Linked DNA regions of Struthio camelus. The protein of the gene in region 2 purifies or fractionates together with the protein of the main gene of each other region. This does not show direct contact. Links are inferred from orthologs where the notes say so. Each region holds a gene or a part of one and is shown on either strand. Other genes may lie near its edges.

Region 1 (7,220 bases), on a different chromosome or scaffold from region 2:
CACCACAGACATCATATGGCAGCAACAGTTTAAAAATGGCACAAACGAAAGAGTAAAAATTAAAAAAATAAAAAAAAATAAAAAAAATAAAAAAAAATAAAAATACAGACTTCCAGAGACGCTCTAAAACAGTTCAGGAGAAACCGGGTCCCACTCTCAGCAGTCGGGGGAGGGGGGGGAAAGAGTTAACGTGATCAATCCACTTAAAAATTTTAAAAACCTCGCTGTGTCTCACAAAGGGTAAAAACCCAGCTCAGTCAGGAACACTCAGAAAAACTCGATTTCATCCGGTTAAAAATCAGCAGTGTCATTATCATCACCATCAGCAACATATCATCATAGTAAAGTCATCAGCATTATAGTAGTATAATAGTAATAGTAACTAGCAACAACAATAAAAAGGAAATCAGTGGAAAGGCAGGAAAAATGAAAAAAATTTTGAATAACTTACTGTAGCTGAAGATCAAAAAAATCTCGCTGTAAAAAAACAAAAATAAAAATAGCCCAGATTAGAAAAACGGGAGGTGCCGAAAGGTCAAGTCAGCAACGATCATTTCTGTTCTCTCCCTCTCTCTCACGCTCTGTTCCAGCCGCGGTTGCCAGAGGACCGCGCGGGGAGAGCTCTCGGCAGGAGACCATCAAAGCCCTTTGCACACCATCACTTCACTCTAAAAATACCCGAGAGAGGTCAGCTCATGAGGGGCTAAAAGGCTCCTCCTCTAACCCAGCTGCTGCAAAAAAAATACAGGTTGACTCTCAAAATTACATCTTAAATCCAGCTCCAGTGTGGCGCGGGGAGCAAGAGGCCGCAGGGGCACCGTTAAAATGGCTCTATAAAATCGGGAGGTGTGCGTGTGTGGGGAGGGGAGTTAATACGAAGCTGAGCTCCAGTGAGGAGGGATGGGGTTTCGCCTCGCTGCCCTGTGAAAGGAGAAGGGACAGATTGAGTCAGGGTTCCTCAGCAACGCTGCCCGCCTCTCCCGCTCCCCCCAAGAGAGATCGGCCGGCCTCCCAACGGCCCCAAGCTCACAGCTGTCCTCGCTTCCAGCTAACGCTCTTAAAACCGTCTCCGCTCTAATCCCTTCTGCTTCTCCCGTCTCCGAGGGAGCAGCTCGGACGTCAGACACCTGTGAGCTTGTGGCGGAGGGCGGATTCGTACAGGGCGATGCATCAGGCTCACACGCATAACCCTGAGGCAAGGAGGAGACGGGAGAACCGAGCGAACACACGACACATCGGATCCTGAAAGAGGATGCGAAGAGGGATCTACAAGCCAGGTCACTGGAGCTCAAGCAACCTCGGGGATCTGAGTCACAGCAGAGGCCAGAAGAAAGTCTTTTGGGTGTTTTTTTTTTTGGTTTGTTTGCTTTTTTTTTTCCCCCCCGCTTTTTAAACCCTGCCAGATACTGCAGAAGCAGGTTATTACCAGCAAAACGACAAGAGGGGGAAGGGGGGGGGGAATAAAGTTACAATCTCGGAAGGAACCAGAAAAGCTGGCGAGTGAGTATCGTGATGATGATGATGGCAGAGAGGAGCCTTTAGCCTGGAAGAGAAATACAGTGCTACATACACCCGCTCGCGTGTGATCCGGCCCGGGAGGGCGGGAAGGGGCTACGACAGGCGGCGACTGCCTCGGGCTACGGCTCGAGAGACAGGAAGGCGAGAAATGCAGAAAAGCAGTTTGTATTTATTTTGTTTTTTTTAAGGGGGGTAAGGGGAAAAAGGGGGGGAGGGAGAAATCCAGCCCCAAAAGCGGCCTGTTTTCCACCCAAATCTTCGGGCAGCGACGTCCTGTTACCTCCTCCTTCCCCCCCCCCCCCCCCCAACAACCCCGGCAGCTTTGGGGCTTCAACAGGGCCAGCGCCACGTGGAGTGTGGCCACGCCCCCTCCTGGGATGGCCACGCCCCCTTACCCCAATCCCGTCTGACTCTGCTCAGCGGGCTGGCCACGCCCACTCCAGGATGGCCACGCCCCCTCGGGGCGCTAGCCGCTTTCACCTGGCTTGACCACGCCCCCTCCTCGGGCTGGCGGCTTTCACCTGGCTTGGCCACGCCCCCTCCTCCCGGCTTGGCCACGCCCCCTCCTCCCGGCCCCTTCCCACAAGGGCTGTTTACGCAGCGCGTTCCCCCCCCCTCCACCGCAGAATGGTATCGCCCACAAGGAGGCGCCGCTCCGTTCTCCGCTTCCCCTCCTCCCCCCCCCCCTCCCCGGCTCTCGCCGTGGTCGCGCCCGGCCAACGGCTCCCCCTCCCCCCACACACACATACGGCGCTGTGGGACGCGCCGCCATCATCCCCCTCCCCCCCCTTCCTCCTCCTCCTCAAGGCAGCCGTTAACCGCCCCCCCTCCCACCATCACGGCGATGGGAAGGGTGTGTGTGGGGGGGGGAACAACGGCTGGTTCGCGCTGAGGCGGTGGAGAGGGGGGGCGGTGTGACGCCGTTAACTAAACCGGCGCCGCCGGCTCCCTTGGCTGCGGCCCAGCCCCCCCCGCCCCCCCCGCCCCACCCCGGGAGCGGGGAAACGGCGGCCACTCACCGCTCGCTCCGGCGCACGCTGCCCGCTTCTGCTTCCTCCTCGCCGCCGCCTCCCCGCTTGAGGCTGCTCACAAAATGGCGCCCACGCCGCCCTCTGCGCTGCTCGGCCCGGACGAAAGCCAGCCCAACCCCCCCCGCCGCGCCGCCGTTGGACGGCAGGGGAGGCGCTGCGCGCCGCGATTCGCTGAGCGGGGTGCCCGTCCGCGGACCAGCCAATGACAGAGGGGAGAGGGCGGGCCAACGCGCGGCAGCGCGGGAGGCGGGAGGAGGAGGCGATTGGCGAGCCTGCTTGTCACTCCAAGGCGCGAGGCCGGTGTCTGTTCTGATTGGTCGAGAGTGCTGTTCGTTTACCCCTTTCCGCCTATAAACGTGGGAGCGGCGCCGGCGCTCCCCGCCCCTAGGCGGGGCTGCCATAGACCGGGGGCAGAGGGGGGCGTAGCCCGAGCGCTGAAACCGAGCCGTTCTGCGCGTGCGCCTTGTGCTCTCCCACGGCTCCCCCCCCGCCCCGACACTCCGCGCCGGCGATTTCCTATTGGCCAGAAGACAATGACGCAAGGGCCAGGAGAGGGAGGGCGGGAGCTTCGGCACCGTCCTCGACGACGATTGGCTGAGGCGGGGCGCGGTGCCGGCAGGCTATTGTTCCATCCTCCTGTCAATCTCCCGGCCACCTCAACGCTGCACGCTGATAGGCTGGTTTGAAAGCTCGGGCACCGTTACCGGCAGCCTGGGGGCGGGGCCACCCTGACAGGAGAGGGGCGCTGCCGGGGTGTGAGGGCGGGGGGGGGGGGGGGGACGAGACCGCGTCGTCGTCGTCATCCCGGAGGCAGGAAAATGGGTTTTTTTTTTTTGGGGGGGGGGGAACGTTTGGAAAAAAAACAAAAATCGCTTGATGCGGTGAGGAAAAGTGGGGAACGGCCCCAAAAAACGAGGCTTGTTTGAGCCCCCCCCCCCCCAACTGCCGCCTCACGGGGCCTGGTCGTGTTCCCCCCCCCCCCCCGGCCCTGCCGCCAGCCCTGATCCCGGGGCTCGCTCCGTCCCGGATGCTCTTCCCGAAGCGGAGATGGCGGCGGCCGGGATGGAGGTTTGGGGGCTGGGCGGTTGGGGGGGGGGGGTCACAGCGCGGTGCACGCCGGTTGGGCCGCGTCCGGCCGGGCCGTGCCGGACACCATCGGCCGGCGGTGAGGGGCTCTGCCCCGGCCAGCCAGGCGCTTCCCCAGCTCCTCCCGCGCGTCGCCGAGGAGCAGGACGTAGAGGAGGGGGTCGGCCACGTCGCTGAGGGCGGTGAGGCACAGCGCCAGGCGGTCGTAGAGGAAGAGGCGGCTCTGGAAGGGGCAGGTGTCCTCCGACAGCAGCTGCGCCACGAACCTGGAGTAGGAGGTGGCCTGGTAAGGGACCTGGAGCAGGTAGAAGGCGGCAATCATGCAAGCGATGGACCGGGCGATCTTCCGCTTGGCTTTCCCATCCAGGCTGGTCATCTCCTTGAGCTTCCCCAGGCCGCGGAGGTAGAAGAAAGTCATGAAGAAGCAGGGCAGGAAGAAGGAGAGGGCCGCGGCGGTGGTCCTGAACAAGGCGTAGCCCTTTTCCCTCGGGCACAGCTGCTCGTAGCAGAGGTGAGGTTTCAGCATCTCCGAGGGCTGGAGGACGCCGCCCACCAGGCACACGGTGACCACCAGCGCCCACGAGGCAGCGCTCACCCCGGCCGCGCTGCGGGCCGCCTGCAGCCCGCGGAAGCGCAGGGGATGCGCCAGCCCCAGGTAGCGCGCCACGGCAATGAGGCAGAGGAAGCTGTTCTTGGCGTAGAGGGCAGCGAGGAAGGCCAGGCCCACCCCTGTGCAGGCGGCGCTGCCCCAGGGCCAAGCGTGGTCCCGCTGGCTGTAGTGGATCCAGAAGGGCAGCGTCAGAAGCTGCAGCAGGTTGGCCGCCATCGCGTTCAGCAAGTAGGCGGAGAGCGCCGACGCGTTGGCCTGGCACAGCAGGGCCCAGAAGGCCAGGGCGTTGAGGGGCAGACCGGCCACCAGCACGAGGCTGTAGATGGGGACGAGGAAATACTTGGTGGCGTTAAAGGGCACGTGCCACTGGGAGGAGTTGTCCATGCCGGGTCCTTGCGTGGCCGCGACCGAGGAAGCCGCTCTCCTGCGGTTCGCCAGTGGACCTCCGCCCGCTCCTCTCCGCTCAGCGTTTCTGCTCGAGAGAGGATGTTTCTGCACGGGAGAGGACAAAACGCAGCTCCAGCAGCATCCGTGGCGGCCGCGCGCTGGGTGTTTACCCCTCCTGCCAGCCCTCAGCCCCGCTGCCCTCCAGGAGCGGCTGCTTGCTCGTGTTCACTTCAGAGCGAACCGAGACATTTGTCCCAAAAAGCTGCGGTCAGAAAGCCGCGGTGACCCGCGCAGCTCGAAACGCCGCTGCGCAGGCTGGTGGGAACCGGGTTTCACCCCCGTTTGTGGCCTCGTGGCGGGGGTTAGCCGGCCTCAAAGAGAGCTGGGAAATGACACGCGATTAAATGAGCCGGGGCCAGGTGGGAAAGGCGCATCATCTTTCCGGTGTGCTGTATAGCATAGCTGAGTGCTGTGGGGGAGAAAACCGCCTAGTTTCACTCTGTCTTTCAGGGCAGAAATGACCTTATAGCTGCTCTTTGCCCCAACCACATGAACCGTTAGTCTCTCGGTCTGTCAGCTCTATGTAAAAGTTCCTCGCGACTCGTTCAAGCAGCAAATTATTGAGGTCTCGGCAGTCTGGTAGTTTCGTGGCTAGCACCAGCCGGAAAACGATTGAGCTTTTGGGAAGAACTGGCCTTTCCCGCTTGTCTGCTGCTAAGAGAGCACCAGGCCGCGCTTGTTACCGTTTTCCTTAATTTTTCCTTCTGGTCCTCCTTCCCCGATCCACGCTTCCCCAGGTCAAAGCGCGAGTCGGAGCAACGCGCCTGCCTCTAGCGCCTGTCCCAAAAGCCGTCCGCGCCGCACAAGCGGCGGGTCGGGGAGGACGAGCCGCCCCGCTCCGAGAAGGGAACCGCACGCCGCGCCGACCAGCGTTCCCCGCAGCCCGTAGGGCGCGAGGGGAGGCAAACCTGCCCGATCTCGGGACGGAGAAATTCCCCGCGCTTGCTCCGAGCCGGGGGACGGCAGCACCCCGTTTTTTTTGTTTTTTGCCCAAGCAACGCGACCGGCGGCGCAGTTCGAGCGGCAAGACCCTCACCTGGAAATCGCGCTCCCGCTCCGGGGCTGGCTGGACCGAAGCCGGACTCCGGTTACAGGGCGGCGAGTTTGCGCCGTCTACGGAGAGAAAAGAGCCGCGGTGAGCGCCTGCCGCGCGCGCCGCTACAGCCCAACTGCTCCAGCGCAGGCCGGCCGCGCGGCGAGGCCTCCGCCGCCTTCGACTCGCCTTCCGCCGCGCTGAAACCACTCTCACCACAGCCCCAGCGCCGGCTCACGTACGCCAGCACCCCCCCTCCCCGCCGAGGCGCCTTCCTCCTCCGCCGAGGGGGGCTTTTCGCGCCCCGAAAAATCACGCCGAGGTCGGGCACGGAGCCGGGGCGCCGCCGTGCCCGACCTCGGCGCGGGGAAGCGCAGGCAGGAACGTCAGCGCCTGCTGGCGGGGTGGGGGGGGGGGGGCGTCCGACGGATTAGGCGGATTACGGGGGGATATTCCCCGCTGTCCGGGCGGGACGCGGTGCCGCTGGGTTTGGGGCAGCCGAGGTATTTACGCCTCTGAAATTCGCCTGGCAGATGGCAGCGGATTAACCGGCAGGCAAAACCCTCCACCGCCGCTAACCGGCGGCCCGCCGTCGCTTCCCCGCTCGCAGGCCGGACCCTCCCGCAGCCATGGCCCGGCCGCTGCTGGACGAGACGGCCGGAGAGCTGCCCGTCAGGGACACGGACCCCGTCGCGGATCAGCCCCGCCGCGGGGTTTTCGGCTCCGCGGGCGCGCCGGCCCCTCGCGCGGCGGAGGCCCCGGGGGCGAGGAGCAAGCCCCGAGGTGAGCGCGCGAGGCGATAGCCGCCGGGACGGGGATCGGCTTCAGATCAGGAACCGTTTCGGAGCTCTTCGTTTCGTTTTCAGAGCTGGCGACGCAGCCCCGGAGCCGCGGGGAGCCGGAGGAGCGTGGCTCGCGCCCGCGGGAGCGGATCGAGAGGCGGCGACAGCCCCTCGGCCCCGCCGTTGCCCCCGCGGGGTCCGGCGGCCGGCCGGAGCCGACGAAAACCCGGGAGGAGCCGCGGGGAGGCGCGGGCGACCTGGAGCGGCGAAAACGGGCCCTGCGGAGGCGCCTGCTCGCCTACCAGCAGCAGCTGCAGCTCCGGCGCCGCCGCCACCGGCCACCGCGCCGAGCCCGCTCCGCCGGCGCGAGAGGGAGCGGAAAGCGTCGGCCGGGTGAGGCTGGGAGCGCCGCCGCCCTCCCCGAAGCGCCCTCGAGCGCGTCTCCCTCCGCGCCCGCCCAAAACTCGCCCGCCTGCTCCCTCCAGGGGCGCCGGAGCCGGCACCGGCGGCGAGAACGGACCGCGCGGATCCCCAGGACGCCGGGCCCCGCGCGGAGAGGCCGTGAGTCTGTCAGCTCCCCTCCCCCCCCCAAACTTTGGGGCAACACCGGTGTTTTGCCTGTGTCTAAGCTCTTTTCCCGCACGGAAAACATCCCCGCCTCGGTCTCTCGCAGCGCGCGGGGAGCGGGCTGCGCGGAGCGGCGGCCCCAGGGC
Region 2 (7,019 bases):
TCTCGCCCCCCCCGGATGGGGGCCGAGCGGGACGTGAGGCCGGGGCGACCCCCAACGCCCCCCCCTTCTCGCCCCCCCCGGATGGGGGCCGAGCAGGACGTGAGGCCGGGGCGACCCCCAACGCCCCCCCCCTTCTCGCCCCCCCCCGGATGGGGGCCGAGCGGGACGTGAGGCCGGGGCGACCCCCAACGCCCCCCCCTTCTCACCCCGCACCCCCGGATGCTCCCGCCGCGGCCGCCAAAAGCCCGTTTGGCGGCCCAAGCGGCACCGGGCCGGCCGCAGCGGCGGGTAGCTGCCTCCCGCCGGACGGGACGGGGTGACGCGCGCCCCGGTCCCCCCCCCCTCACCCGGCACGTAGACGGAGGGGTTCTCCGACATGCCGGGCAGCGGCTGGTAGTCGTGGGGCCGGCGGATCTTCAGCGACTGCCCCTGGAAGATGATCCCGTCGAACGCCATGGCCTGGGTGGTCTCGTCCACGGAGCGGAACTGCGGGGGGGGGGGGGCGGAAAATGGGGGCGGCGGTGAGCGGAGCCGCCGGCGGCGCTTCCCCCCGCCGGGGGGAAAAGGCGGGAGGGGGACGGCAGAGCCGCGCTCACCTCCAGGAAGGCGAAGTTCTTGTCCTGGTTAATCTGCACGGCCAGCACCGGGTTGCCGGGCGCCTGGGTGAGGCCGCCGAGGCGCATCTGGGCGTTGAAGAAGTCCATCATGGCTTCCTGGGGGGGGGGAGAGAGGCGGGGGAGGCGCGGTGACGCCGGCCGGCGAGACCCCCGGGGCCCGGCGAGCCGACCGCGCGCGCGGAGACGAGAGCGGGGGGGGGCCGGGAAGCGGGAAACGACCTACTTGCCTGGTGCGGCGGTAGCAAACTTTTGTGCTACGAGGGATTTCAGCCCCACAATTTCCACTTTAAAAAGAAATGGAAACAACTCTTTGATCTTGTTTTTTAGGCCGAGAGTCAAATTCAAAATAAATAAAGGAGAGAGAAAAAGAGAGAGAGAGAGCGATGGCGAGAGAAGAGCAGAGAACGGAGCAGGGAGGGAGAAGACAGAGAGAAAGAGCAGAGAAGGAGGTGGCTTCCAGCGCTAGCCGCTGCGTGGGGCTCCGCTCCCGCGGGCCACGTCCAGGAGACGTCCGGAGGCGGCGTGATCCCGCTTCCGGGGCCGGACCCTCTTCCGCTCGCACACAGACCCGGGGGGGGGGGGAGGGAAAAGGGGGAAGGGGGGGGGGGTTCGGCGCCGAGACCTGACCCAGCTCGTGTCGCGGATGGCTCCTCCAGGTGGCCGGCGTCATCCCTCGGCTGCGCCCGTCCGCCTCCCGCCGCCCCAACGCCCCGCTCCCGAACGCCCGCCGTCGGCCCGCGCTCCGGCTGGGGAAGCGGCGGCTCGGCCGGCGCCGGCGGCGGCCCCCCCCCTCCCCGAGTACCTCGGTGATGCCGAAGGGGATGTTGCCCACGTAGAGGCGCCGCGCCTGCCGCGTCATCTGGCTGCCCACCACCGGCACCGGCGTGGGGGTGACGGCCAGCCCGTCCGGCGTCATGGTGGGCAGCAGCGCCGTGGCGGGGATCTGGCCGGCGGCTGCGGGCGACACCGGAGAGCGGGGCGGGGGGGCTCCGTCAGGGCGGCGGCTCCCCCCCGGAGCGCCCCGAGGAGCGCGAGGAGGAGGAGGAAGAGGAGGGGGGAGGAAGGGCGGCGGGCACCTTGCATGGCTTTGTACTGCATGGGCGTGATGTGCTCGAAGCCCGGCGGCGGCACGTCCCAGTACTTGCGGATCTTCTTCTTCTTCTCGTGCCGGGGCGAGCGGCTGCGCGGGGGGGGCACGCAGGGGTCGGGGGGGCGGCGGGGAGACCCCTCCCCAACCCGCGCCGCCCCCCGAGAGCCGCCGCCGCCCCCCCCCCCCCGCGCCCACGGCCACTCACCTCAGGGGACCCGAGAGGCTCAGGGGCGACCTGCGGGCGGAAGGAGAGGCTGTTGCGCTCGGCGCGGGCTCCGAAAGGGAAGCGGCTCCCCCCCCCACCCCGGGAAGGGCCCAGGCGTCCGGGTGCCCCCCCCCCACCGCCGCCGCTGCCGTACCTGCGCCGCCGGCGGTCCCGCGAGACGCTGCGCTGGTCTCTGTTCCGCCGGTCGCGGCTCCGGCTCCGGCGCTTCCGGTCGCGGCTCCGCGAGCGGCTGTGGCTGCGCTTCCGGTGCCGGTTCTCCTTGTCACGCTCTGCCGGCAGTCGGGGCGCAGGGGGATGCGTTGGGGGGGGGTCGGCAGCCCACCCCCCCCCACGACCCCTCCTGCCCCATTTTCCCCCCCCCCGACCCCACACCGCGGCGTTCCCGCAGGCCGGGAGGAGCCACGTGCGCCGGGCGGGCGGGGAGGGGGGGATTCGGCCACGGGGAGTCGCCGACGGCCGAGGAGCCGCCCCGGCGCCCCCAAAACAAAGACGGGGGGGGGGCACAGACCCTCCTTTTCAGGGGGGGCCCACGGGGACCCCCATCCTCCCCCCCCAGCAGCAGGGACCAAGAGCCCCATGGGGAAATGGGGGGTTGGGGGGGGAGAAGAGACCCCCAAAATGGGGGGCAGCCATGGGGGGGGGAAGCGGAAGAGACCCCTTCAAGGAGGCCCCCACATTGAAGGGGGGGGATTTAGGGATCCTCAAGAAGGAGATTCATGATGGGGGGGAACCCCCTCAAGGGGGGGGGAGAGACCCCCCCCAAGGGGAGGGTTCATGGTGGGGGGGGAGCCATGGGGGGGTGCGAGGACCCCGTGAGGGGCGTGAAGAGGGGGTGATGGGGGGTGAAGGGGGGGTGAAGGGGATCCCCCCCCCAGACACCCACGGGGGGGGGGAGGGGAAAGCCAGGCCCGGGCGCCCCCCCCACCGCGCCGGTACCTTGTTTGTTCTCGTTGAGCTGCCGCTCGAACTCGTCGAAGTCGGACATGATGGCGACGGCGATGGCGGCCCCGGCCCCGCTCCCGCCTCGGCCTCGGCCCCGCTCCCGGCTGCGGCTCCGGCTCCGACCCCGCGCAGGCCGCGGCGGCGCCTTCCCCCGCTCGGCAGCGCTCGGCCACTTCCGGCCCCGCGCTCGGCCGCTTCCGGCCGCGCTCGGCTCCCTTCGGCCGCGCTCGGCTCCCTTCGGCCGCGCTCGGCTCCCTTCGGCCGCGCTCGGCTCTACCCGCTCGGCGCTCGGCTCCCTCCGGCCGCGCTCGGCTCTATTCGCTCGGCGCTCGCCTCCCTTCGGCCGCGCTCGGCTCTATTCGCTCGGCGCTCGCCTCCCTTCGGCCGCGCTCGGCTCTTTCCGGCCGCACTCGGCTCTTTCCGCCTCCGCTCGGCTGCCTCCGGCCGCGCTCGGCTCTTTCCGCCTGCACTCGGCTCTTTCCGCCTCTGCTCGGCTCTACCCGCTCGGCGCTCGGCTCTTTCCGCCTGCACTCAGTTCTACGCGCTCGGTTCTACCCGCTCAGCACTCGACTCTTTCCACCTGCGCTCGGCTCCTTCCGGCCGCGCTCGGCTCTTTGCGCCTGCGCGCCGCTCTATTCACTCGGCGCTCGGCTCTTTCCGCCTGCACTCGGCTCTTTCCGGCCGCGCTCGGCTCTACCCGCTCGGCGCTCGGCTGCCTCCGGCCGCGCTCGGCTCTATTCGCTGGGCGCTCGGCTCTTTCCGCCTGCGCTCCGCTCTACCCGCTCGGCGCTCGCCTCCCTTCGGGCTCCCCCCACCGCTTCGGCTCCTTCCGCCTCGCTGCTCCGTCACTTCCGGGCGGGACCTCGACGACTTCCGGGCGGCGGCTGCGCCGCCGCCGCCGCCGCCGCCGCCGCGCCCGCTCCTCGCTCCGCTCCCCGCCGCGGCGACCGGGACCGGCTGCCCGTGAGCGGCCGCTCCGGTCCAGCTGCTTCTCCCGCCTCCCCCCTCCCCGAGCGGCTCCCGGCGGGCGGATCGGCACCGCTCCCAGCCGCGACCTCGCCGAGGCTCCCTCACTTCCGCTTCCGCCCAGGGGCGACTTCCGGTCCGCCAGCCCCGCCCACCGCCGCTTCGGCAACTTCCGCCGGGGGGGCGGAGCCAGCGCGCGCGCACGCGCGCGGAGGGCAGCGGCGCTTCCGGCCGCCAGCGGAAGTGTCGTCACGGGCAGGCGGGAGCCGCACGTGCCCCCTGGGCGGGGGGAGCCCTCGCGGTGACCCCTGACCCCGGTGACCCCTGACCCCGAGGGTCCCGGTGACCCCTGACCCCCCCCAACACACGGTGGGGAAAAGACACAGCCGGAAACGTCGCTTTTATCCCAAATCGCCGCTTTCTCCTCTGTCATGTCAAGTCTCTGCCAGAAACCGGTTGTTTTTGTACATTTTTCTCTCCCTTTTCCAGGGTGTTTTCTTTTTTTTTTTTTTCTTCCTTTTCCTGCTTTTTCCCTGGTCCAGGTGACGGGGGGGGGCAGAAACGTCACTGACACCGAGCTGGGGGGGGGCAGGGGACCCCTCACCCCCCGGGGGGGCCCAGGCTTCCGGGGGGGGGGGCTCCTGGCTGGGGCCCAGGTGTCCGGGGGGGTCTCTCGGGGGTCCCCAGTGTGCTGGGGGAGGGCTCCAGGCCAGGTTGGGGGGTGGTTTGGGGGTCTGGGAGGGGGGCCCAGGCGTCCGGGGGGCTCTCGGGGGTCCCCAGTGTGCTGGGGGGGGGCTCCAGGCCAGGTTGGGGGGTGGTTTGGGGGTCTGGGAGGGGGGCCCAGGCATCCGGGAGGGGTCTCAGTGCTCCAGGCCAGGTTGGGGCTGGGCCCAGGCGTCTGGGAGAGGGTGTTGGGGCTCCAGGCCGGGTTGAGGGGAGCTGGAGGGGGGCCCAGGCGTCTGAGGGGAGAGTCTTGGGGCTCCAGGCTGGTTTGGGGGGGGCTGAAGGGGGCTCCTGGGGGGGTCTGAGGCATCCAGGGTGGCTCCTGGGGGGGTCCCAGGCATCCAGGGGGGGTCTCCTGGGGGGGCCCAGGTGTCCGGGGGAGGCTGAGGGGGGCTCCTGGGGAGACCCAGGTGTCCAGGGGGGTCCCAGGCGTCCAGGGGGAGGTGAGGGGGGCTCCTGGAGGGGTCCCAGGTGTCCGGGGGGGGTCTCCTGGGGGGGCCCAGGCATCCGGGGGAGGCTGAGGGGGGGTCCCAGGCATCCAGGGGGAGGTGAGGAGGGCTCCTGGGGGGGGTCCCAGGCATCCGGGGGGGCTCCTGGGGGGGCCCAGGCATCCGGGGGAGGCTGAGGGGGGCTCCTGGGGGAGTCCCAGGCGTCCGGGGTGGGGTGCAGGGGCTCCAGGCCGGGTCGGGGGAGGTGGGGGGGCCCAGGCGTCCGGAGGGGGGGCCCATCACCGCTTGAAGCGGTAGGTGATGGGCAGCAGCAGCTTGCTCTTCTTGAGGGCCTGCACCTTCTTGAGGGTCTCGTCGTCGAGGGCCAGGAAGCAGCGGCGCGAGTACTCGAGGAGCCGCTCCTTGGAGGGGTCGAACTCGCCCACCTCGGCCAGCTTCTCGGGCGCCACGATGAGCAGCTCGGCGATGGGCGTCGTCAGCGCCACCGTGTTGCGGTCGACGCGGTGGTGCTCGAAGGCCCGGCTCATGCTCTTCAGCTTCTGGAACGTCGTCAGGATCTTCTTGTAGCGGCACAGCACCCCGTCGGCGTCCTTCACTGCCCCCCGGGCGCGGGGCCCCAAGGGTGGGGACGCGGGGACGGGTGGGCACGAGGACATGGGGACAGACGCGAGGACGTGGGGACGCAGGCACGGGACGGACATGAGGACACGGGGATGGAGACGAGGGGGACGAGGACATGGGGACAGATGCGAGGACGTGGGGACGCAGGGACGGGACGGACATGAGGACACGGGGATGGAGACGAGGGGGACGAGGACATGGGGACGGACGCGAGGACGTGGGGACGCAGGGACGGGACGGACATGAGGACACGGGGATGGAGACGAGGGGGACGAGGACATGGGGACAGATGCGAGGACGTGGGGACGCAGGCACGGGACGGACATGAGGACACGGGGATGGAGACGAGGGGGACGAGGACATGGGGACAGACGCGAGGACGTGGGGACGCAGGCACGGGACGGATATGAGGACACGGGGATGGAGACGAGGGGGACGAGGACATGGGGACAGACGCGAGGACGTGGGGACGCAGGCACGGGACGGATATGAGGACACGGGGATGGAGACGAGGGGGACGAGGACATGGGGACAGATGCGAGGACGTGGGGACGCAGGCACGGGACGGACATGAGGACACGGGGATGGAGACGAGGGGGACGAGGACATGGGGACGGACGCGAGGACGTGGGGACGCAGGGACGGGACGGACATGAGGACACGGGGATGGAGACGAGGGGGACGAGGACATGGGGACAGATGCGAGGACGTGGGGACGCAGGCACGGGACGGATATGAGGACACGGGGATGGAGACGAGGGGGACGAGGACATGGGGACAGGACGGACACGAGGACATGGGGACAGACGCGAGGACGTGGGGACGCAGGCACGGGACGGATATGAGGACACGGGGATGGAGACGAGGGGGACGAGGACATGGGGACAGACGCGAGGACGTGGGGACGCAGGGACGGGACGGATATGAGGACACGGGGATGGAGACGAGGGGGACGAGGACATGGGGACAGGACGGACACGAGGACATGGGGACAGACGCAAGGACATGGGGACACGGGGATGGAGACGAGGGGGACGAGGACATGGGGACAGGACGGACACGAGGACATGGGGACGGACGCGAGGACGTGGAGACGCAGGGACGGGACGGACATGAGGACACGAGGATGGAGACGAGGGGGACGAGGACATGGGGACAGGACGGACACGAGGACACGGGGACAGACACAGGATGGACAGGGACATGGGGACAGACGGGGATGAGGACACGGGGACAGGGACAGACACGGGGACAGACAGATGCGGGACAGAGAAAGAGAGAGACTCCGTCACGTCCGGGGTCCCCTGGGGAGGGACAGGGACGGGGGGTGGTGTCCCGGGGGGGGCCCTGGTGTCCCCAAGGGGGGCCCTGGGGGGGGGTCCGCA
Region 3 (7,747 bases), on a different chromosome or scaffold from region 2:
GTAGAAATTATAATTTACAAAAAATCCGCTAATTCAGTGACAAGGCACCCCACATGAGCAAAATTTTAATGTATTCAAAGTGTGTGAACAAACAGCTCTGTGAGGTAAAAGCAACTATTGTCTCATTTCAAAAATATGGAAAGATAAAACTGAAAGACAAGTGCTTCATCAAGGCAAATAATGTAAACGAGTAGCAGACCAGAAATAGGACCACTGTTCTGTGCTTATGCCTTTAAATGGTTTCATAATTTTATGAATTCAGCCTAATCACCAAAGGAGCTTAGCAGAGCTCCAAAGTTCACAAAAAATGCACTTGTGACCTCCAAGTATTTCTTCCATCCCCCCACCCCAATCCTAGATTTTACTTAAATAAAACAGTTCTCCAACATCTGTAATCCACCTGACCTGTCCCCTTATTTGTGTAACGTATGCGTAGCATAAAGCTCGCCCCTTCAGCATGCTTGCTCTGGCCAAGCATCTCCTGATACACCAGGAGATACTACATTTTGCAGATGTCACAGCAAATATTAACGTGGCTCATGCAGCAGTGTAAAGGGAAGAGTGTCATTTTAGAAACATGGGTTCCATTCCAAGTTTTTACAGATTCTTAGCATGACACAAGGCTTTGCTCAATAACTAAGCCTGCAAGAGCACCAAGGTCAGACGGAGACGTTCTTCATTTCCCACCTAGTCGGGTTCAATAGAGCATGCTGCAATCAGAGTATCAAGATGGTACATTCAGGTGCTAATCAAAGCTGATAGACCTGGCAGCAGAATAATGCCACGTTCAACAGATTTTAACCCTGCCAAACTTCAGCACATTGCTACTGACCAAAAAGGAACTTCAGCAATCGCCAGGAATACAGCTCTGCCAAGCGTGAACTTTGCTACAAATAACGTCAGGGCAGAAGAGCTTCTAAAAGCAGTCTAGGGTGCAAAGGAGACCAAGAACGTTCCTCAACTTATCCGCAAGGGTTTGCTTTAACAACAGCACACCCCATAGACCTGATTGCCTCTGAAGTAATTCTAACACAAATATTCTCAGAGCAACACCAGTCTCTGACATTATGAAAAAAACAAAACAGTCCATGCGTTTTTAAATATATAGGAAGCTGAGTTTGAAAGGCTTACCCCACAACTTTCAGTTCGGTGACATAAAGGAACGCATTCATTTTATAAACTAGCACGTTTTATAGATTTACCCCTCCCTGGACATTAACGTTCACAAACTTAGATTATTACATGATAAATCATTGGCAACAGCTACGAACCAGATTCTTTACACCAGGATTCCTCTCTGCCCTGTATCCCTCATCAAGCTGTGCGTTTTCAAATCAGTTTCAGGAAATTAATGCAAGCGTACCTAAAGATGCATTCCTATATAAAGTCACCTTAAACAGAGCAAAGCTACACTCAAAATAAATAATTTCCTTCTAGATTAAAATCATCTACAGCGTACTTGGACTGACTGAAGACTACGTGAATGCTTAACATTTGCCATTTACCTACTACAGACACAAAGAAATCCTCTGCTGGTGGCTCTACTATAAAGTTCTTACATGGCTATAGTATACCAGTTTGATAGGGAGCTAGAATTAGCTCACCAACATTATCATGCTGCTAAAATTCTAAGACTAGATCATTCTTGCATCAGATTTGCTCCACAAAACAGTCTGCGTAGGTTTACTTCGTTTTCCCCTAAGCCTACTTGTAAGCAGAGCCCACAGGACCATCCGACTTGGAGGCTCCCAATAAGTACTACAATCAATCCACTATCTCCCAGCAGTGCTTATGAACAGATGGCATATTACGCTGTTGATATAGTTTGTAAGTTTGACTGCAGGTGAACTGGCCCTGATACCAGGCCAAAGATGATGGTGGTGTGTGGTAAGCCGACTGGTCAAAGCTCTTCACTGTATTTTTAGTAGCTCCTGCAAACGCCCAGACTCTTCTGCAAAAAACACACTTGATACTCGTAAAAGGATACGAACTAGAGGGTCATCATAAGAAAGAGTACAAAACAAAAAAGCCCAAGCCAAACCACAATTGCCAATTATGCGCAGAAAAGGAACAGCCGGTATTTTGCTCTAGTCTTTACCACCATGTCATACCTGTGATAGTTCCATGCACCTGCGTCCCATTCTTCAGCTCAATGGTCACAGTCTCATGACTGAGTTTCATGAGAAACCTAGAAATTAAAAAAGGTATTTTTTTTGTTTTTTTGTTACTCCCACATAAAGCCAACATGGGTTATCACATAACATTCTCTACTAGAGAACACTGATGCACGTCAGGGCCCACACCTCTCACGTTTACCAAGAAAACGCTTCCAGATCTCGCGGGTTCTACCGAAAACGTTTATTAAGGCACTGCACGAGCGCAAGACACAAGAAACCAGACGAGGCGCGACCCCTACCCGACCGGGAGGAGCCGGGACACCGCACAGCTGCTACCGACTTCAGCACCCTGCCCCGGATACTGCGCTTATCCGGAACAAAGAAGGAAACGTTTCAGCGCTTCTCAGTACCGCCAGAAAATAATTTCTGGCTTTCCCCCCCAAAAATCAGGGCTTTCTGAGCACTCCAGCCTCCCCCCACCCCACCCCCGGCATTCAGGTCACGGCGGAGCCGCCGCCCGGCGGGGGGAGGGGCGCCCGCGAGGCGACCGTTAGCGCGGCGACCGTTAGCGCGGCCCGGCGCGAGCGCGGCCGCTTCCCCGCCTCCGCCGCCAGGCCCGGCCGCCTCCATCCGCCTCCATCCGCTCACCTGACGAGCTTCATGGCGGCCGGGCGGCGCCTTCAGCACGCAGCGGCGGCCGCCGCGCGGGGCAGAGGAGAGGCCCTGGGCGGGAGGGCCCGGGCGGCGGGCGCGGCGGAGGCTGCTGCGAGCAGGCCGCGCCGCCACTGGCGCCAGGAAGCGGCAGCCGCCGAGGAGAATGAATGAGCGGAAGCGGCGCCGCGCAGGCGCCGGAAGGGGCGGCCCCGCCCCATCCCCCAGCGGGGGAGGGGGGTCAGCGCATGCGCAGTGCGCAGGGGCGCGAAGGCAGGGAGCGGGCGGGCGGGCTTAAATAATGATTATTATTTTTGTAACATTAAAAGAGGCCAGGATAACAGTCTTTTCCAAACCAGCCGGTAACAGGGCTCGAAGCACAGCTCGAGATTTTTCCCTCTATGCAGTACCCACTGCCACGATATTAAAAAAAAAAAAAAATCACACACACACCACCCTCAGCAAAAACCTGAGGGTTGAGGTAAAAATACATTTTTATATAAAGTGTTTGCTCCCATAAAGTGACTGTTTATGCAACATTATATGACGCAGGCCCTAAGGAGCAGCTGGGGGGCAAGGGAAGGTTATGCTGGGTGGTAGGATTTCACCACAGGGAAGCCAGGAAAGAGCAAGGGCCGTTTCTTTCCTTTTCTTGATTTTCCTTTTTTGCCTAACAGTTTAATGACAGGGGGAGAAAAGAAACAAGAAACAAGAGTGTAAATATGAAGAAAAAAAGAATTAGATTTAAAAAAAAAAAAGAGCCAGATGGAAGTAGATTCACAAACAAATGCTGCTGAACTTCACATTTTGTTCTGGGCCAACCAACCCTACTTGTAGGGCACGGAGCTCTGCCACTACATTTGCCTTACCTTTCAGGCAATTATTTCAGTATTTTCCCAAGTTGCTTCCCAGTAAAGCTGCTCTAAACTTAAAAGTCTACCCCTCTCCCCCCACAAAAGATGACAAAGTTTAAAAAGAAAAAAAAACAAGTTCTTTCAACTAATGGCTTCAGGACCAATTTTGTTATACCAGTATACAATTTTACTAGCAATCATCTTATATGATTGTGCACACCTAGTCATCTAGTGAAGCTTGATCCTATTTAAAATGTCAACACTACACTCAAACTATTATTTCATTAGTCATTCAGAAACAGCTTGTTCAGAACCTCTGCATTTAGACAAGTGCATTTGACTGTTTCCAACAGGCCAGCGGGTTGCTCTAGCAAACTGCAACACAAGCATGAAAAAACAGACTTAAAAAAAAAAACCCTCATGCCTATCTGCAGTGAGGGAAGGAAAAAGGATAGTGACTTGAATTTTCACTTTGAGGGGCTATTATTGTCCACACAAAAAAAAAAACAACCCAATACAACAAAACAACCCACCAAACTAGTGTTGGGAAAGTACGAGAGCCTTGAACACTGAGAAGAGGTGAGGCTTGCGCTTAATCTCAAGAAAAATCCACCCGTAACAGTTCTCAGAAATGTAAGATCCAGAATTGGCACGGAAGAGCAGAACACGATGCTAATGAAAATGCTTGGTGCTCAGTGCAAGATCGTCAATATTTAAGCACAGAAACAGCAGGATATTTACCTGCTATGAACCGCAACAAATCGGAAGCATCTTTCTGGTGGAAAAAGACCTTGAACCATTTGGAAAAAGTCCACTCAAAGCACAAAACACAACTGACAGTATATAGAAAAGTTGGACATTTTATTGTCATTTATGAGTACACCATTTGTGACTTTAGAAATACAGACTCTTTGCAAAGCACTGAAATACAGATGCCCTCCAACTTTGAAAACCTACGTTAGTCTATGTCTTACAACGTGTTTATACTAGCAATTCAAGTTTGGTCTTTGTTGCAACGGGTTCTTCACCGAAGACGCAGATATCTAGTTACAGACTGCAAGACAACTGAACCAAGTTTCAAATGCCACCTGCCAGTGAGCCATTTAAAAAAGAAAAAATACCCAAACCCCCCAAAACAGTACTTTTAGATAGTCTATGATGTTCTTATACTTTATATCCATTATGGAGTTCATGTTTGAAAATTTTAAGTTAGAGGATTTTCCAGTTAACTGTCTCAACTGGTATTTCCATTACAGCATCTAAAAGCAAACAGATACTTTGCAATTACTAGTGCTTATGAACAGATTACCTTTAAACAAAACCCAGAGAGGCCTCCAGAAACATTCAAGGTTAAAATGAACAGTTAACAATTGCAAAAATCTGTACATATTTTCAGTCATAACACAATGAAACACTGCAGTATCAGTGTTTTGTGTTCTCGCTTCAACAGTGAGAACTGTGCTAGCCCTAGTATTCTACATGTTTCTCCCTTCTCCCCATTTAAGCTTTATAACCGCAATCCGAATATACAGCTGTACTTACAGGAAATATTAAACAATGCACAGCGCCCAAAGCAAGTTTCACGTCTGGTTTTGAACAAACCATATAAAATAAGTGACAAAATAGTTTAAAATTGGTCCTTGATTAGGATTACTTATTTTTATACAGCTTGGAAGCACTAAGTTTAAAGACACACATTCATGGTTAACCAGCACAAGTTATTTTGTAGCTTAGTTTCTTGTTTTTGTTTTTAAGAGTGTGTTACAACATCATGCACGAAAAGCAAGCTGTTGCTCCCAAGTGCAAACATGGGGTTTTGCCTAACGCTTTTCTCCTCAGGTTGTTACTCCTTCTTCCATAAATTATTCTAACATAACCAAAAAATATAGAAGCAGCTGACTAGCAAAATAATATGAAGTTCATTTTTTTTAATCTTGTGACCGTTCTTAAAATAATGGTGTACTTTGGACCTTTAGCATAAGGAGGGTTCAATAAACACTGCAGAGGAGTCTACATTCTTTGATTTCATTTACGTCTTTAGAAAGAAGGTTATATATTTTAACTCACTAACTAATGAATCATCATCTAAAGACTGCAGTATTGAAACAGTGCAAGACATTTGCAATTTCAGAAGCATCCAAATACACTGTCCTTTCACCCAAACAATGATTAGTAGAATATTGCATCAGTCCTAGATAAGACAGGGTGCAAAGCTTATTTTAGAGGAGAAGCATTAGGATTCAACAATCCTTTATGTTTAGTGAAAAATACATAAATATGCACAAAAAGACTCCTTAACGTGGACTTTAACAAATGTAATCCAGCTGTAAATCTAAGAACAAGTTACTGCTATTAAGCCATATTGCTCAAAGAACATGATTAGACCCCTCTATTAATAATACTCCAACACCTGGATAGGTTGACACATGAACAGAATGAGGGCTCTCTCCTGTCAAACCAGAGATCAAAAATTCAGATGAGACTACCCAGGTGGACTGCGAACTTACGCAGTCCATTTATATCTTGTAACACTCCAGACGCCACAAAGCTGGCTTTCATCTTTGAATTATCTTGGTAAGGGTGGAGCCTCCTCCACTAATGCAACATTCCAAAGATCACTGCAACCAAGACTGTAGAGTCAGATCTCAGCTGAAAGCTACCACGAAAGACGACGATTCACTTTCTCCCCGTGCTGCCAAGGATGAACGTTAAAAAGACCACTATTTGGTGTGGAAAGCAGGTCAGTAGAGACTCCAGGTGTGGCTTGAGGAATCCTCTGTACCAAGCCGCTTTCCACACACACAAATTCAGTCCATCTTCTCTTTCTGGACCAGTTTGGGTGCATCTACAAAATCCTTGCCGTTGTAAAGGATGATAGCAAAAGTTCCAAAGCTTGCACTTCCCCAGAACAGTACATAGGCCAATGTCTCAGTCCATGTATCACCTGTTGAGAGTCGATAAACACTTCATGTCATTATCTCTCATTACCTATAAGAGTATTTTAATACAAAAGCAAAATAGTTGCCCAAGCCCTCCCACAGAGATCTGCCATCAAACGTTGAAGTTGAAAGCACGTCCACAGGTACTAGGGTCTTTTGTTATACTATGTCATACCTCCTCTCCTAGAGGTTGACAAGCCACAATTATTTGTTCTTAAGCTAGCATTCTGCTGTTTGCCACACACAACTCCAACAGCACTTTAAACACAGCTACAGAGGTCACGGAGTCAAGTACTCCATTGGCACTCATGTTATAAAATTCAAGGCAAAGGCAAAAGGCGAGAACTCCACAATTTGTCACATGGATTTAGATCAAGGGGGGCTTCTTTCAGACCAAGCTTACACCAACATCTGCCTTATCTGGATTGACTTTCTGCTCAGAATTAGGTAGGTATTTGTGAAGGGATTCATCCAGCCTATAGCAAAGCCAGACATCCAACTGAAGTGCAACCGACTAAATGTTGGGGCAATTAAATGACACCTAAATTACTTCTACTAATTTTAGCTTCATTTTCTATAGTACCTCAGGTTTTTCACATTAATGACGTAGTGCTGACCCTCAGTCTCCAGAGCCATGCTTGGAGACCTTTTAGTATGACTGAGAGGCAAGCAAATATATACTAAATAGTTTCTAACACCCATTTATTAAAAGAAACAAACAAAAAACAATATACAAGCAAGCTAATTTTGTGAAGTCAAACTAAATAGTGACTTACCAGCCATTAGCAAACAAATAATGCACATAGAGAAAGCAACCACCATAATAATCGGTAACTGAAGAAAGAGAAAAAGAATAATTACATGATATAATAGAACATGTATTACTTAATATCCTTTAAGATTGGTTGTGCTGCAAAGCTATTTACTTGTCTTGCAATAAGGTTACTTCAATTATTGAAGTACAAGTGTAAAATTTTGGATGACTTAAAACTTGTAAAGGTGTGTTCAATAATAAGTTCAGAACTAAAAATGTATCTTCTATTATATTAGAAGAGGGGTGAACTTTTTTTTTTTAAATATAAATACATGAACCACCAATTCAACCTCTAATATCCCCACCCCATTTCACTACATGATATACACGGGGGAGGACGGCAAAAAAATTAAGATTTCTTCATGTTACACT
Region 4 (7,911 bases), on a different chromosome or scaffold from region 2:
CACGGCGGCGTGGGGCTCAGCTCCCCCCCCCGGGGTGCCCGCTTGTCCCCCCTCCGCCCCCGCCTCCGCCGGCGCAGGGCTGGAGCACCCCGGGGTGCCCCTTACCCACGGCGGGCGCTGTGCCAGCAGGTCCTGCCACTTGACGTAGGTGAGGGTGGCCAAGCCCTTCAGCTGGGTGCGGAAGAGGAGGCCGGAGCCCTCGCGGAGGCCGGCCCCGAGCTGCCGGTCCAGCTGGGTGCAGAGGTGCTGGAGGTGACCCTGCGGGGGACAGGCGCGGGGGCGTCAAGGCGGCAGCGGTGGCGGCGGGCACCCCCGGGCCGCCCCCGCGCCCTCCCCGCTCACCCGCTGCTCATCCAGCAAGCGCTCGGTGCCCACCACGGCGTTGGCGAGGATGAGGAGGCTGTGGCTCAGGTAGCAGGCCTGCGGGCGAGAGCGGGCACGGCTTGGCGCTGCTCCTGGGGCGCCCGCCACCCCTTGGCGCACCAGGCTCCCTTGCTCCCCACGCCAGGTCCAGCCCAAACCAGCACGGTGGAGGGTATCCTGGGGAACAGCAGCTCCGGCGCGGCACCCGTTTTCCGAGCAGCGAGCACCCACCTCCTGGTCGGGGTCCTCTGGCTCGTTCTGGCACCCGGCGAGCACCAGGCGCTGCAGGGTGGCGGGCCGGACCAGCGCCAGGAGGTGGCACAGCGCCTGCAGCTGGTGGGGAGAGTGGGCGTCAGGGGCGCAGGCTGACGCCCGCCCAGCCGGGCTGCCTTGTCTCCCCGCGCGCCCGCAGAGGCACCGCTCACAGGGTACCGGAGCCCGTAACGGATGCCATTCTGAAAACGAGGGAGCGCCCAGGCTGCGCCCACCTCTGCTTGCGCCCGGCCGGGCAGCACCGTGCCCAGCGGCTCCCCCAGCAGCCGGGCCATGATGCAGAGGCTCAGGTGTCGGCGAAGCTCCCTGCGGAGAAGGCAAGAGCGTGAGAAGGGTGTTGGGGCTGGCGTGGCACGGGGAGAGGTGCCAGCTCGCGCCCACGCACCCCGCCACGTGCCCGGCCCTGCACAACCCACGCCCGTGTGCCAGGCTGGATCGTCTGTGCAGCGCCTGGCATGGCACAGTCCCGGCGCACTCCAGGTGCCCGGGGCGAGGGGCGGCGGTGCCCCGAGCGGAGCCGGCAGCCGGGTCCTGCCCGCTTTGTGCGCGTGCAGCCGGTTGGAATAAAGGAATTAGAGCGAGACGCATCCGAGCCTGGCCCTGGCACGGCGCCCGCAGGGCCGTGCCAGGCTCCTGCATGGCAAAACGGAGCTCGACTCCCCGTCACCGCGGCGCGGGGGGCACGAGATGCTCGGTGCGATGCCAGCAACTGCTTCAGCATCCCGGGGGGTGGGATGCAGGTAGTGCCAATGCGCGGGCACGTACCTGCCCCTGCTCGTGATGTCCGGGAGCAGGCGCACGACGGCAACCAGGTTATGGTGGTGCTGCGAGACCTGGCACAGGGACAGGCACAGATTTGGCAGCTGGGGAGAGAAGGAGGTGCTGAGCGACGAGCAGGGCGGGCACGGGGCTGCACCCGGGCGGCAGAGCCCTCGAGGGGACGGGGCGCGGGGGCGCCAGGCTCAGCCCGACCGCTGAGCACGCCCAACTTGTTGCGTTGGTGATGTGCAGCAGGGTTTGCTCCCCTTGCCTCGGGTACCTGCTCCTGCCAGTCCCCAATGCCCTCCAGCAGGCAGTGCAGGAGGTGCTGCAGGTCGGGCAGGGGCTGGCACCGCAGCGCCCGGTCGAGGCTGAGGAAGCAGAGCAGGGTGAGGAGCGCCAGGCGGGCACGGTCGGGGTAGCGGCCTGGCTGGGCGACCACACACAGCGCCAGGAGCTGGCAGGGGAAGGCAGCGTGTGAGCCGGGCGCCAAGGATCCCGAACACACCCCTGAACCACCCCCGTGCCCGCATCGTTGCTGGGGCAGGGATGGACTGGCGGCAGCCGCAGCGGGCACCCCTCCAGCAGCTGGCATCAGCGCTGCTCCGGGCCTGACTCTCATTAGCAGCAGCCCCATTAGCTGGGCGGAGATAACGAGGGCGGTCAGCCAGGACGGAGGCGCCCGGGTGCTGCCACACGAGCCCCTCCGGGTGGATGCAGCCACCTCCCTGTGCCAGGCTGCCCGCGCCAGCGGGCGCTAGGTCCCACCGCGGGGCGGGCACGGGCGCCGCGCTGCCACCTTGCAGATGTCGCTGAGCTGCGTCGCCAGCGCCAGGGCGCTGGTCGCCTCGGGGTCTGCCTGCCCCGGGCATCGGGGAGGGTCCGGGGGCCTGCAGGGAGAGGAGCGGGGTCAGCGCGGGGGGCACCCGAGCGGACCCAGGCGTCCCGATTCTCCCGCGCCGATCCCGGGCTCACCTCCTGTCCGCGGGGCACAGCTCGAGGGGCAGCAGGCCCTGGCGGTGCAGGGCGCCAAGGTCGGCGCCCAGGCGGCAGAAAACCTGGCTGATCTCCGGCACCGTGGGGCACCAGGGCTCCCCTGCGGGCGAGGGGGGCCGGTGAGAGCGGGGTAGGGGGCGCCCCGGGTGAAGGCAGCCCCGTGCCCACCCCGCGCTCACCCACGGTGCTCAGCCGGTGCACGTTGATGTCCCACAGCACCTGGAAAGCGTTGGCCGTATCCGGGCACAGGGCCATCAGCTGCCAAAGCAAAGAGGGCGTCACCGGCTGTGGCGCCGCCCGGGCACGGCTGGGACAACGGGGATCCTCCCACCGCGGGGGCCCGGCTTACCTGGAAGAGCCAGCGCAGGACGGGCAGCGGGCACGCGGGCACGCAGCGGTACAGCAGGCTGAGGTGGCCCTCACGGACGAAGGCGGCTTGGCAGGCAGGCGAGGCGCTACGGAGGGTGACACGGGTGCGTGTGCCCGACCACGGACACAGGCGGACGCGCAGCCCGGCGCGGGCACCCGCGTGCAAACATAACAAATACCCGCCCCCAACCAAATACACGAACACCCGCCCTCGCCCGCAGGCAGGACCGCGCGCGTGCCGGCAGGGCTGCCGTCGCGCCCAGACGCCGGCTGACGTGTTCCCGCAGGGCGTCACCCAGCCCGGGGGACGGGCCACGGGCGCGCGGAGCCGCCGGGACCCCCGCCGCCGGGCTCTCACCGGAGGAAGAGCGCTTCCAGGTCGCTCTGAGGCTGCAGCCCGCCAGCGTCGAGGGTGGGCGCGGGCAGCGGGCGGGCGTGGAAGACGGGCTCGCCGGGGTGCACGGCCGGGATGAGCGCCGGTTTGACGGCGAAGCGGGCCAGGAAGAGCCTGCGGGCCGGAGGGCAGAGCGGCCGCCGTGGTGCTGGGCGGGCGGGCGGCGGGTGCCCCGCGGCGGCCACCCGCCTGCCCGCGCCACTGCTACCTGTGCTCCTCGGGCAGCGGGGCGTCCTCGTCCGGGGACTCCTGCGGGCTGCCGTCGTCCTCGCATACCCACTCCGGGCTGCTGCGCGGCGCGGCCGCCTGGTCCTGCTCCCTGCCACGGGGGCGCTTAGGGCGCGACGGGGGCCGTCGGGCGCCCCTTAGCGTGACGCCCTGGGCCCGCCTCACCTCTTCTCCTTGACCAGCGAATCCAGGCTGTTGGCGAGCGGATCCGGCTGCGGGCACAGGGCAAGAAAGCGTTAACTCCCCAGCGGCTCCCGCGACACCCCAGGGGAAGGAGCCGGATGCCCGGCGGGCGCCAAGCAGGGACCTACCCGGCCGCGCCGCGGTGGGCTCCGGGCCTCGTCGCCCGCCAGCAGCAGGTCCCGCAACGGGATCAGGACGTCCTCGCCGTCCTCGGGGGACGCCCGCCCGCTGGCCTCGTCCGGCGGGCGCCCGCAAGCCGCCCGGCCTCGTGGCCGCCCCGGCGACCGTCCGCCTCCGGCGCGGCGGCGCCCGCCCTCGCCCCCGGGGCTGAGCCGGGAGCGACGCGACGCCGGGGCCGGCCCGGGCGACGCTCGTTTCGGCGAGGAGCTCCGGCCGGCCCCGGGGCCGGCGGCGCGTTGCCTGCTCGACGCGCCGCGCGTCTCTTTGGGCCGGCGGGGCGGCGGGGCGGCGGGGCGGCGCTCGGCCGCCGGCGGAGGGCGGCGGGGGTGCGGAGGGGGCCGGGCGCGCGGTCCTCGCCGGCCCCCCCCCGCCGCCGCCGGTGGTGGTGGCGGTGACCGCTCGCCTCGCGCCCTGCCGGCCTCACGCGGCCGGCGCAGGCCCGGGGGGCCGGGGGCGGCCTCCAGCAGGCCGGGGGGCGGCAGGGCGAAGGGGGGCCCCACGCGCAGCTGCTTGAGGGCCCGCAGCTGCTGGTAGCGCTGGAGGCTGGCCTGGAAGCGGGGGCTGAAGAGGCCGGTGCGGGGGGCCCGGGCCGACGACAGCGGGATCTGGTACCAGCGCAGCCCCGGCGGCGCCATGGCCGGGCCCTCGAGGGGGCGGCGGGGGGGGGGGGGTGCCCGCTGGGCTCTGGGGGTGGGGCTTAGCTGGGCGGGGTGCGAGGAAAGGGCGGGGCCTGGGCGAAAGGGGCGGGGCCGAGCGGGAGGAGGGCCAATGGGAGGCTGGTGGGTGGGGGGAGGGGGGGGTATGTGCGGCGCTGGCCCCTCCTACCCGCGGCGCTGCTTTCAAATGGCAACTGGCAACGGCCCCGCCCCTTCCTCCCCGCCTCCTTTCCCGTCTGAGCCAATCGGAGCTGGGGCAGGGCGGCGCGCCCCGCCCCCTCGCGTCTGGCCGAGCCAGCTCTTTGGTGGGGAGGAGCAAGGGAACGGTCTATCAACGGCAAAGCCCCGCCCCCCTGCCAATCAGCATGAGAGGCGGGGCTAGCCCCTCCGTGAGTGTCTCCTCCCCTCAGCAGACTCCCGCCTCGCATGCTGGGAGATGTAGTCCCCGAGGCAGCAGGGCATGCTGGGAGTTGTAGTCCCGAGGGGGCAACGCCGCCCCGCGGCACCAGCACTTCCGGGTCGCCTAGGGGCACCGGAGACTGCTTCCGCTTGCCCCGGAAGTTCCGCTGCCTGCTCCGGTGCGCGGCGGCGGCCAGCCCGGCGGCGCCATGGCGGATGTGACAGCGCGGAGCCTCCAGTACGAGTACAAAGCGGTGAGTGCGGCCCGGCGGGGCCTTGAACCTCCCCCGAGGCGCCGGGAGGGCTCCGGGTTCCCCCCGCGGCCCGGCCCGGTCGGGTCCCGGGCTCCCGCGGCCTCGGTGCTGCCGCAGCTCGGCGGGACGTCGCCGTGAAGGGGAGCCGGGCAGCCGCGGGGGTCTGCGGGCGGGCAGCGCCGCTGGCTGGAGCAGGACGCGGCCCCCAGGACGCCCTGCAGCCGTTTAGGCGCGCCTGGGCGCGGCCGCAGCAGCGCCCCTTCCCCCTGGGCCCCCTAAAAACCAGCCAGTTTGAGAACATTTCTTTGTAGCACCGCTGTTACAAGAGCGGTCAGGAGCTCGGCGTCCTTGGAAAACAGAAATGAGTGCGACGCCCGCTTTGAAGCTAATTTTAAAAGTGCTCCTGTCAGACTCTGAGGCTTTCTGCAGAATAAAAGCTCCGGTTCTGGTGTAGTTGTCAGATGCTGTAGCGTAACGAGCGAACCCTACGGGGACTTTCCCGACTGCCAGAAGTTACAGGGTGCCGTCACGTGACTCAGTCCAAGTTTAAAGTCTAAAACTGTGGCCTCTTCAAGCATGAATAATTTAATTCGGCATTATTTTTCCTGCATTGGGCAGGGGAAAGTTGGACATGCTGCATTAAAGGGGGTTTTATGTACTTAATAGAGCCTCTGGAGCAGGCAGAAGAGGCTTCTAGATTTGAGCGGGGGAGGTTGCTGCACTGAACCTGCTTTGGCCTAGGTCGCGGCTGGCGCTGGCTTCTTGGTCTCACCTGTCCGGATGCAGTGGACTGCGTGGATTGCGTTAATATTTTCACAGGCCCGATTAGTGCCTGTTTTTATTCTTTCTCTTCCAGAACTCCAACCTCGTCCTTCAAGCAGATCGCTCCCTCATCGACAGGACTCGGCGAGATGAGCCGACCGGAGAAGTGCTTTCCTTGGTTGGAAAGCTTGAGGGCACCCGAATGGGAGACAAGGCCCAGAGAACCAAACCGCAGATGCAGGAGGAAAGACGAGCAAAGTGAGTGATTGACTCCTGCCCTGAGCTTGCCGTTCGAAGCCGAAGGGACGCAGAGCCCTGAAAGAGAACCTCCTGGTTGTATTTGGATTAACAAAGCTCTAGGCAATTAATGTGCTAGACCCCGTCTTTTAAGTAATACAATCTCAACTTGTTTTAGTTCTGTGAATGTGGTATAATTCAATACAATTACGACCCCCATTCAGGTCGCTTTCCAGCTACTAAAAAGAGCATCTGTACTTCAAATCAATTGTTTTGTGTTTAAGTGAATGTGGTAGAATAAACCGAACTGTGAAACTTTTTCAGGTTCGAGAGTTCATGCTGCATAAAGCTCTCTTAATGGTATCTTATGTCAAAGAGAAACGACTCCTTGATTCCCGCTGCTTTGGCGTAGAGTGGGAGAAGCGGCTCTGCTTCCTGACTAACCCAGGTGCTGTCTTCCTTGCCCTTCTTTCTAGGCGAAGGAAGCGTGATGAAGACAGGCATGATATCAACAAGATGAAGGGTTATACCCTGCTGTCTGAGGGCATTGATGAGATGGTGGGGATCATCTACAAACCCAAAACCAAGGAGACCCGCGAGACCTATGAGGTGTTGCTAAGCTTCATTCAGGCAGCCCTTGGGGACCAGGTAAGGACGTGGACAGGTCAGCGAGGGTATCTCTGCTCCAGCAGAGGATTCAAAGCGTGCATGTAAAAGTGCGAGAGAGAAATCCGAGTCCTTCTTCGTTATCCCATGAGATGGATTCGCTCCCTTGATTCTGTGTTTTGTGCTTGTAGATATCACGTTAGTATATTCGTTACACTGATGCGGGGTGGCATATCTCTGTCGTGGGATGTGACCTTTCGATGGCACAATCTCTGCTCCCCCCGTGCCTACGTGAGGGTGCAGAGCTCGAAACGAGATGTTTTCTAAATCTGGTGAGCTATTTGTTCCAGGACTTGAGAACAGAAAGCTGAAAGGATTTGGTCCAGAAATAGGAGGGAGTGATACCGTACCGTTTGAATGACAGTCCTCTTCTTGGCAACACGTGGTCACGTTCTTTATTTTGCAGCCACGTGACATTCTCTGTGGAGCTGCTGATGAGGTCCTGGCAGTCCTGAAGAATGAGAAGCTGCGTGATAAGGAGAGGCGGAAGGAGATTGATTTGCTACTGGGCCAGACTGATGATACCCGCTACCACGTGCTGGTGAACCTGGGCAAGAAGATCACGGATTATGGTGGCGACAAGGAAATCCAGAACATGGGTATGGGCTGTGCTGTAGCGGGCTGCAGCTGTAGTAACGGGGCTGGCAGAAAGTAGTATTACGGTAATTGGTACCAAACCCAGCCTTACTCCAGGAATAGTGTTTTCACACAGAGGAGCTAGAAAATTTTGGACTCTTTTCAAGCCCGAAACCTGGTTCTTTTCAAAATTTGGATGTACGGAGGTGGGATGTGTGGATCTGCAGAGCTTGCATATGGTCTCCAGATTTTCAGATTAATTAACTTGGCTCTCCCTTGCAGATGACAATATTGATGAGACGTATGGTGTGAATGTACAGTTCGAGTCTGATGAGGAGGTAAGAGATGAGACGCTGCGGGGTCTCTGTGCTGTCCCCCCTTGCTTGTTGAGCTGCTCAGCAGGGACCACGTGTGCTTGGCTTTCCTCAGCCATGCTGGGGAAGCAGGCATTGGCTCAGGCTAGGATACCTCTGCCAGGAAGGAGAGGCCAGATTACTTTAGACACTGCTTCCTGGCTTTGGGAGGATTTGTTGATTATCTTGCTAATCTGAGGCTGATTGTGAGTGCATGTTACTGAAAACAGATGGTGATATTTAGATCTCTTGGAAGAACTTGA

Evidence for each region.
Region 1: the proteins of U2AF2 (region 2) and HNRNPC fractionate together in Homo sapiens (co-fractionation; 3 studies listed by BioGRID, with this or other methods). This does not show direct contact. The link is inferred for Struthio camelus from reciprocal best matches to the Homo sapiens genes U2AF2 and HNRNPC.
Region 3: the proteins of U2AF2 (region 2) and SNRPD1 fractionate together in Homo sapiens (co-fractionation; 3 studies listed by BioGRID, with this or other methods). This does not show direct contact. The link is inferred for Struthio camelus from reciprocal best matches to the Homo sapiens genes U2AF2 and SNRPD1.
Region 4: the proteins of U2AF2 (region 2) and SNRNP200 fractionate together in Homo sapiens (co-fractionation; 3 studies listed by BioGRID, with this or other methods). This does not show direct contact. The link is inferred for Struthio camelus from reciprocal best matches to the Homo sapiens genes U2AF2 and SNRNP200.

Annotation. Positions count from the first base shown.
Region 1 is NC_090970.1:27,505-34,724, forward strand, and holds the start of HNRNPC (heterogeneous nuclear ribonucleoproteins C1/C2), read right to left. Parts: upstream 3,002-7,220; 5' UTR 2,538-3,001; intron 922-2,537; exon of another isoform or gene 767-921; intron 478-766; 5' UTR 452-477; exon of another isoform or gene 1-451. Other genes in the region: G-protein coupled receptor 4-like, read right to left, coding at 3,649-4,629; RPGRIP1 (X-linked retinitis pigmentosa GTPase regulator-interacting protein 1), read left to right, coding at 6,355-6,508, 6,592-7,068, 7,181-7,220. UniProt on the Homo sapiens protein: Binds pre-mRNA and nucleates the assembly of 40S hnRNP particles. Interacts with poly-U tracts in the 3'-UTR or 5'-UTR of mRNA and modulates the stability and the level of translation of bound mRNA molecules. Single HNRNPC tetramers bind 230-240 nucleotides.
Region 2 is NW_027182594.1:221,338-228,356, reverse strand, and holds the start of U2AF2 (splicing factor U2AF 65 kDa subunit), read right to left. Parts: upstream 3,011-7,019; 5' UTR 2,919-3,010; coding exon 2,870-2,918; intron 2,203-2,869; coding exon 2,067-2,202; intron 1,943-2,066; coding exon 1,913-1,942; intron 1,798-1,912; coding exon 1,694-1,797; intron 1,572-1,693; coding exon 1,420-1,571; intron 714-1,419; coding exon 597-713; intron 487-596; coding exon 348-486; intron 1-347. Other genes in the region: CCDC106 (coiled-coil domain-containing protein 106), read right to left, coding at 5,292-5,608. UniProt on the Homo sapiens protein: Plays a role in pre-mRNA splicing and 3'-end processing. By recruiting PRPF19 and the PRP19C/Prp19 complex/NTC/Nineteen complex to the RNA polymerase II C-terminal domain (CTD), and thereby pre-mRNA, may couple transcription to splicing.
Region 3 is NC_090943.1:50,585,834-50,593,580, forward strand, and holds the start of SNRPD1 (small nuclear ribonucleoprotein Sm D1), read right to left. Parts: upstream 3,005-7,747; 5' UTR 2,780-3,004; coding exon 2,766-2,779; intron 2,189-2,765; coding exon 2,112-2,188; intron 1-2,111. Other genes in the region: SACM1L (phosphatidylinositol-3-phosphatase SAC1), read right to left, coding at 6,430-6,566, 7,338-7,395. UniProt on the Homo sapiens protein: Plays a role in pre-mRNA splicing as a core component of the spliceosomal U1, U2, U4 and U5 small nuclear ribonucleoproteins (snRNPs), the building blocks of the spliceosome.
Region 4 is NC_090968.1:1,325,462-1,333,372, forward strand, and holds the start of SNRNP200 (U5 small nuclear ribonucleoprotein 200 kDa helicase), read left to right. Parts: upstream 1-4,905; 5' UTR 4,906-5,009; coding exon 5,010-5,054; intron 5,055-5,910; coding exon 5,911-6,074; intron 6,075-6,529; coding exon 6,530-6,701; intron 6,702-7,125; coding exon 7,126-7,318; intron 7,319-7,577; coding exon 7,578-7,633; intron 7,634-7,911. Other genes in the region: protein FAM178B, read right to left, coding at 106-258, 343-420, 595-696, 852-942, 1,402-1,499, 1,676-1,852, 2,195-2,285, 2,371-2,491 and 6 more. UniProt on the Homo sapiens protein: Catalyzes the ATP-dependent unwinding of U4/U6 RNA duplices, an essential step in the assembly of a catalytically active spliceosome. Plays a role in pre-mRNA splicing as a core component of precatalytic, catalytic and postcatalytic spliceosomal complexes.